Linked DNA regions of Caenorhabditis elegans. The protein of the gene in region 1 purifies or fractionates together with the protein of each later gene. This does not show direct contact. Each region holds a gene or a part of one and is shown on either strand. Other genes may lie near its edges.

What was found.
Region 2: the proteins of wago-4 (region 1) and C05D9.3 fractionate together in Caenorhabditis elegans (co-fractionation; one large-scale study listed by BioGRID). This does not show direct contact.

What each region holds. Positions count from the first base shown.
Region 1 is NC_003280.10:12,917,865-12,921,870, reverse strand, and holds the start of wago-4 (Argonaute protein wago-4), read right to left. Parts: upstream 2,321-4,006; 5' UTR 2,295-2,320; coding exon 2,139-2,294; intron 2,087-2,138; coding exon 1,896-2,086; intron 1,851-1,895; coding exon 1,682-1,850; intron 1,638-1,681; coding exon 1,232-1,637; intron 1,186-1,231; coding exon 459-1,185; intron 414-458; coding exon 238-413; intron 192-237; coding exon 23-191; intron 1-22. Other genes in the region: F58G1.2 (C2H2-type domain-containing protein), read left to right, coding at 2,891-2,927, 3,094-3,462. UniProt on the Caenorhabditis elegans protein: Argonaute protein which is involved in the endogenous small interfering RNA (endo-siRNA) pathway and is required for RNA-mediated gene silencing (RNAi) in the germline.
Region 2 is NC_003284.9:1,109,917-1,113,922, reverse strand, and holds the start of C05D9.3 (Integrin beta epidermal growth factor-like domain-containing protein), read right to left. Parts: upstream 2,008-4,006; coding exon 1,861-2,007; intron 1,201-1,860; coding exon 1,093-1,200; intron 975-1,092; coding exon 890-974; intron 830-889; coding exon 688-829; intron 643-687; coding exon 579-642; intron 1-578. Other genes in the region: C05D9.4 (uncharacterized protein), read right to left, coding at 3,813-3,962.

The DNA.
Region 1 (4,006 bases):
TTCGCAAAAAAAAATCTGGTACTTCTTGGCGTCCACGAAAACATAGTTGGAACCTCCCAACTTCACATTGGTCTTGTTGATCACGTTCTCGAGAGTTAGCCTCTTTCCTGCATTGATAACACTCAACGCCTTGGATAGCTTCATGTCTTGAACGATCATCTTCGTATCCTTCTCAATCATTTTGTAACGCTCTGAAAGACGGAAATATGGACAAATATAATAAACAATGTAACATACGATGGAGTGTAGTGATTGAATCATCCGTTATGATGAAAACGAATGTGCAATTGGCTTTCGTTGCGTCGTACAGACGACTCTCGATGGCATCCATATGGATGAGCGAAATGTCAGCAGGAGCAGGCATGTTGACACCTTTTGACTTGCACATAGCCGCGAACTCATCTGCGAATTTCCTGAAACGAAAAAAATGAGATATGAAACTATATTGCCAGTCTTACTTCAGAGTATCCAAAGTTATGCGAGTTGATGCGGTACCGACAACATACATCGCCCACACATTCGGCGCCGTGGCTGGTCGAGTGAAGCGGTTGGCACGCCACTTGTTGTCCTTGACATTGATTGGATTGGCTCCAATTTCAGCGTTTGCCAACTTCACCGCAGGAATTGAGCGTCCTTTGACCATGAGCGGATCTTCGCACACCGAGACGCCCATTTTACCGAGAACCTCGTTGTCCGATGAGATTTGCGCCGCATTTTTTCCCGTCAAGATCAGACGCTGGCGAACGTCAGGTAAAACAGCACTTTCCTTCGTTGTCTTCTGACTCTGGGCACTGGTTAGCTGCGGGATCTGAACGCGTTGATGAGAGCTGATCTTCAACAATTCCATCGGGTAGAAGTTTATATTTCCTCTCTCCTTGGAAACGATGAGATTTGTGTCTGGATAGCGAAGAGTGATGTTGTATACGTCTTCGAAATATTGAGCTACAGTGCAGCTTCCACCGTCGTTGAGCTCGAAACGAGCATTTCGAGCCCCTTCGTGATGGATTCCCTCGATCTTGTGATGACGTTCACGACCGCCATATGTAGAATAGCAGTCGAGCCCTTTGATGACGGCTGCGCAGCGGTCCTTTTCGAGTCCCTTCAGGCCGTGTTCCACAGGCTGCGTAGTTATCTCCTTCAGTTTGTCGAGAATTGGCTGATTCTTATGGAAAGCGACCTTCATCCCTGAAAAACAAGAAATAACTATGATATTACTATTTTGAATACCAACCGTCAATGACAACTGATGGATTACTCCGTCCTCTGCCGTAGGGTCCTTCGATGAAGTTGATCGTCTTCTTGAGTCCTGGTACAACTTGCTTCCCATCCCCAACGTCCACAACGTCGCATTTCTCGAATCCTTCACCGAGTGGATCAATGAAAAACATTTTTCCATGATCGAAAACAACGTATCTCGCAGTGTTGCGAAGACATGGTTGAGTGAGAGCGAGTTCCAGGATCTGTTGGTAAGCCAAGCTGACAGAATCGAGGTTTGAGTCCGTTGCTCGTCTTGCTACGGCTTCTCGTGTGAACTTGACCGCTGGGTTTTTAGTCGGGAACACCTCCAGCTTAATACACGGCAACGATTTGAGATCCTTATGATCCATTTCTCCGCCATCAAGCTGCATGTACTTGGTCTGAAATATTCGGAATAACATTGGCCGAGATTTAATTTATTTACCTTTACTGCGCCTTCTCTGAACCCTTGGAAAAGATCCACGTTTGAGAACAGAATGCTTTGACCATCGTAGATGAGGCAGCTATCAGACGTTTTGAAGAACTCCTCATAGTCACCCAGCGCGCGGAACAGAATCGCACAGCACTTGTCGTGTCTCTCAGTAACGACGAAGCTGGAACATATTATGAGAAAAATATAAATCATGTGGTAAACTCACTCATCCTTCCCCTTCTTAGTGAAGGTAACTTCTTTCCCGTTTTTCAGCTCCGTCGTGATGTTCACGCTGTACTGATAGAACAACGAATCCTGGTGCATCTCGATTCCGAATACGTTGGTCTGTATTTCGGCCTCGACGCCACACTTTCCTGGTTCAGTAGGTGTTGGATAGAGCTTTGCAGCAGGAGCAATCTGAAATTTAACAAATTAGGTTTGAAAAAAAAATCAATTAAACTAAACGTACATTAAGCTCTTCCAGTCTCTTGATGCAAGCGTCGTTAGACGTTTGATACTCCGATCTTAACGGTTGAGTCGGAACTGGAACTGGTGGAACGGCAGGTGGTGCGTGGACGCTCGATGGAGCTCCAGAAGGCGTGTAGACTGGAGGAAGAGCTGGCATCCTTCTCGATTTTGTAACTATTACCTGTAAATTTAAAATTCAAGACGAAATAAGACTTAACGTATAGAAAAATGCGAAAAAAGCAACAAAAATACAACACAAAAACACAAAACGAGCATCAAAAACAAACATTTCCGCGAAAAAACGCGAAAAGAAAAAACGAAATTGAAAATCGCGGTCATCCTAAAATTCTGGGTTACTGTAGGTGACTTTCGCTGCGAGACCCGAGCACAACGACACTCCGCCTTAACGCAATGCGCCTTGTTTACCGTAAATCCACCCGAACAATTTATTTTTTCGAAGAGAACCTTTATTGAATTTTGCTTTTCTTTTTATAATTAAAACTCTAGAATTAAACAAAAATAGCTATTTTTAAGAGAAAAATTAAAAAAGTGCACTTGCGCTCTATTTTGCACTTCAAATACCCTCTTCATCAGGAGTCACATGAGATTGTTGCATTATTTCGAAATGTTCATATTTCTTCGTTTCGCCTCTATTTTTCCAGACCCGTGTTCAATTTCGTTATTTGAAATCTTAAAATTTCCTTCAATAATGCAATTAATTACAGGAACAATCAGGACAAGCAACGAGAAACAATGAAGGCGCCGGAGATTGTCGATCGTGAAGATTCACGTAATCATTATATTTTTTTCTATTGTTAACCTAATAAAAAAACAAAAATAACGAAATTTTGTTAACTTGATTTCTATATTTGGTTCCAAGAAACCTAGTTATTATCACTATTTGATATTTATTTCTCTTGTATTATTCTCTTCTAATGATTTCTTGATAGATGCAGTCTCGGAAGATGATCATGCGGAACATAGGGATTGCCAAGACGAAAAGGAACAGCAGATTATTGCATCATTCAACGCTCAGGATGCTCAACAGATTCGTCGTATTCAAGAGCACTTCCTTCAAGAATGCATGAAAAAGGAAACAGTAGCTGAAGCCAACGATTCTGGAAGAAATGACGTGTGTTGCCCACGAAAAAAGCTCACCGGAGTCGGCGAGCTTCTTGCGAGCCTCAGAAATCCGCCGAAAATTCATAAAGAACGAATCATTCTCGGCGGGGATGGAAGACCAATCAAAAAGCTTCGCGAAAACCGAGCTGCACTGAATTTCATCGATCCATCTGCCGAACTTGACAAGTGTATAGTTCGACAAAGTAAGGATTTCAGAAATTTGTCATTTAAAGGTGGAGTAGACTCGAAATTGTCTGAAAACACCGATTTATATAATGAAACTTGAAAACTTCCCAAAAACAAGTTATGACGGCTCAAAAAATGGCCTAAAAGTAGTTAAAACTTAAAATTTTACTTGTCAGCGCTGTCAGCTGGAAACAATTTTTGTTTTTGAAATCACCGTCAAATTTTGGGTATAAAATGTAATTATCTTGCGTTTTCAACACGATTTCGGTATTTTAAAGTCGATGGACCGCGAGATTTGGTTTAAAAAAATTTAAAAATCTCGCCGTTCATCGACTTTAAAATACCTAAATCAGAGTTAAAAACGAAAGATAATTACATAAAATACTCAAAATTTGACGGTGATTTCAAAAATATTAGTTTCCAGCTGGCAGCGCTGACAAGTCAAATTTCAAATTTTAACTAATTTTAGGCCAGTTTTTGAGCCGTCATAACTTTTTTTTGAGAAGTTTTCAAGAAGTTTCATCATGAAATTCGGTATTTTTAGGCAATTTTGAGTCCAAT
Region 2 (4,006 bases), on another chromosome or scaffold:
TTGTGTTTCACAGGACACGTTTATTCAGCTAGACCAACGCCTCGAAAATTTTCAAAAAAGGCGGGAAAAATATTTGAATTCGCCAAGAGGAATTTCACAACCGCACGTGCAAAAATGTCTACATTTGCGCGTGACGGTGTTTGCACAAATAACACCGAATGGTCAAGCTGAAAACACGTGCGGGGCTTTTTAAAATTAAAATTTGAAAAACCAAGTGATGGGCGACCCTTTGTTAAATTTAATTTGCCTTGCAGCTATGGTAACCCCTCTCAAATTTGGTAATATTGGAAAACTAAATGATTACCATAGAACCTTATATTCGGATTTAGCATGTCAAAAAACCGCTGTCCCCATTTTTTCACAAGTTTACCATCAAAATTGAAAACATACGACCAATAATTCAAAAAGAGGCACCTGCCTAGGTCACTGCCTTCAGATTTTGATAAAAAATTCAATTTTTAGGAGAAATTTATGTTTTCGAAAAATCGAGGCAGATTCCATATCAGTGACGAGCAATCCACAACTTTTTTTTGCCAGTTTTGGAGATCAAACAAAATTTTCAACAAAAAAAGACTCACTTCAATCTTAAATTCAACGATTTGATTATTCTGCACACGGCACGACTTGGTCTCCTTCAACTCTCTGAAATGATTCCTATAAAAATTGTTTTTCGAAATCTTCACCTACCCATCACAGACAATGAAAAATTTCAATTGCAGTGGAGTATCTTTAACATCAGAAGTCTGAATTTCCATAGTCTCGGGTTCGGTGCTCCGTCTGCTTGGGTCAGTTTGATGCAGGTACTTGAAAGAAACGGTGGCGGAGTGAGCTACAAAGTTGCAAATTATCGAAAATGTTACGTATTTAAAAAATAAAACGCAAGTCTTACATGGCATTAGACGGACGGAAACCGCTTGTGGCTGTTGTCGAACAATGGTTTTACCATCATGCTGTTTGGTTTCAAGTGGTAAGTTCTGGAGAAAAAGTTGGAAAATTAGGCTCCAATGGGTATGCCTCCTCGCTGTTTTACTTTCAAAAATTGTAACATTTTAAAGGTTAAACAGCGAGGATCTATACCACTGTAACACTTACTTGTTGAATTTTGACCTGAGCGGTTTGTGGAGAATACACCAAGTGCGGCGTGCATGTCTCATTGGTAAACTTGGATTTCAGCTGGCATCGGTTTGTAAGGGAAGAGTGCTGAAAGTTTTTTTGCGAAACAAAAGTATTCACATATGCACGTGGTGTCAGAGTGTCCCATTTTGGTTTGATCTACATAGATCTACAAAAAATGCAAGAGAAAAGACGCAGACTTCTCAACTGATTTCGCATGGCTAAGAGCTTGCTGACGTAACAGTTGTTTTGACAAAAAATTCCCGCTTGTTTTGTAGATCAAACCATAATAGGACAGCCTGACACCACGTGCATATGCACTTATAATTTTTCTGAATTTGTAACTGCACGATTATTGTAAGCATCATAAAGCATCATAAAGCACCTATAATTTAATTCTTCGGTTTTTTCCAAATAATTACAAACTAAGATAACATTTGTAATGTGATATTCTACAATTTTTCAGGTGCATGTAGAGTGGCGCTTTAAAATTAAAATTTAAAATTAATAAAAATAAAATTTAAATTTAAATTTAAACCCAGTTTTAAAATTTTTGAAAATTTGCAGTTAAAAGGAATGAACTATACAAATAGAAAACGATTTTAAATAATTCTTTAGTTGGAAAATCTTTTGAACTAACTCAAAGTAACTAGCTAGATATCAAATTTTACAAAAAGGTCAGAAATCTAAGACGTCCAACTTTTTAGTACCCCCTCTCAAAACCCCTGCACTTTAAAGTAAACATACGGGATCAATACACCATGCACACTCTGCATGTGCTTTGATACACTGTCCACAGCTCTGCTGGGCATCGAAACTACTGCATAACTGATCTGCGGATTCTTGAGCGGCAACTATTGTCAGTAATGTTATAAAAAAAATCCGGGACTTCATTTTGTGATGATTTCTGAAAAAAAAGAGATGGTGGACTTGAAATTGTGCATATTAAAAATAACATGGTTTTTGAAGTAAAAAAATTAAATTTGGGACTGTAAAATTAACCAGATTTCCAGAATGTTCTCGGTTTCAGAGCAATATAGAAAGGGCGGGAGTAGTAGGGTTTTTTTTTGGCTCAATTTTCATTTTCATCTGAAAAAAAGTTATCGAAATTGGGTCAACTTTACCAGAAAATTACGGTGTTTTCGAAAAAATGTGGAGATTCTAGATGAATTCAAGCCCAGTAATTGAGTTTTTTGGGGATTCAAATGAAAAATTAAAGAACTGAAAAAGTACTCACAATAGAAAAATTCAAAATTAAACGGGCTTTCTCAAATCTAACATTTGGGGTTTGATATTTCAAAACCAGACAACAAAAAATACAAATTATAAATTTACGTAGACATTATTTACAAACTAAACAGTTACATTATAACGTTAAAATAGGTTTAAGCCTCTAAAAAAAGGATAACGAAAGTTATGAAAGTTGTATTCAGAAAGTTGCTCTAATTCTAGAAATCGCGTAAAATCAATATGGAACTGAGATTTTTAGCAATTTCTGGAAGTGAGAAAACTCTTTCAATTTGGAGTTAAATATGAAAATTAAGAATTCAACGAGTTGGTATACGTTTTGAGGTGTTAGGTGGAATCATGAAAATTTCACAAGCTAGAATTTTTAAACGGAATAAAGGAATGAAGTGAAAAACATGAAAAATCAGATAACAACTTTTGAAAAAACTAAACAATAAAGTTAACTAAATGGGGAAAAAAAAAGTAAAAAAAAAGTTCGTGAGGAGGTGGGTTATGCTAAGGGATGCCAAATAACTTGAGAACAGCACATGTCGAGCAAAGTAATAAACAGTGGGGGTAGGAGGGGGGTAAAACCTCGAGTACAGAGGTATGAGATGAAACACAACAGGCGTAGGCATCTGGCGTGCCAGAGCCGTAACTGCCAGCAGCAGCAGACGCTACATTCTGTCATATGGCGTTGAGACTAGGTGCACACCCAAAACCAACTGAACTTTTTTTTTGCTTTGTTTTTTGTTTTGAAGACGGAACTTTGAAACTTCAAAAAATGTTTAGTATCTTCACTATATCAAATGTTTTGATACAAATTTCATTCGCCAAAAAAAAGTCAGTTCCTTCGAAAAAAGAGCATCGGAATGTGTATAAAAGAGCAGCTGTTATGTGACCTAAAGTCCCAAATCCCCCCACTACTCATAAAAACTGTGTGTTTCCGAGTTTCGGCGGATTATAAAATGTGCGAGAAGAGGAGAGAATTGATATTATATCGAAGGTTGTTGTTGTTTTTTTTGCACCGCGGCGGGCAACTTCTGAGAGTTTGCAAGGGGGAGGAGCAAGTTGTATAGTTATCGGGAGAAAAGGTCAGTGCTCGGAGAGCAAATTATATGTGTATCCTGGATTTGATGGGGTTTCCTGAAGACAACTACATTTACAAATTGGTGTACTTGTAAGAAACTTGTGAGAAATGTCTTCGAAATATTTTTATAGTTGAATTGTCTGCGCATCTATCAAGTATCAATTTACAGTAATTAAAACGCCAATAAAACTGACCAACTGGGCTTTCCAGAAGTTTGGATGTTTAAATGTTGATAAAATCTACAAAGTTCAAGCACAACCTGAAACTCAAATTTTCAGTATAAATCCAAGAAATGAGCACAGGTTGTCGTTTTGCAGTAAAAATTATAATTTCACGCGGAAAATAGGCATTTATTTAAAATAAAAAAATATTTCAAAATAATTCAACAGCACGGGTATCTAGACTTCAACTGTTTCGAATTAATCTTCATCTTCCAGTATGACTCACAATGAGTACACCACGCCTTGTTTCGTTTCCACTGTTTTCGCTTTGCCAGGTTGATATGAACTTGGTTCAGAGATTTCGAAGATTTCTGAAAAGTATTTTAGAGTTATTTCCAATTTATAGTGTAAAGGA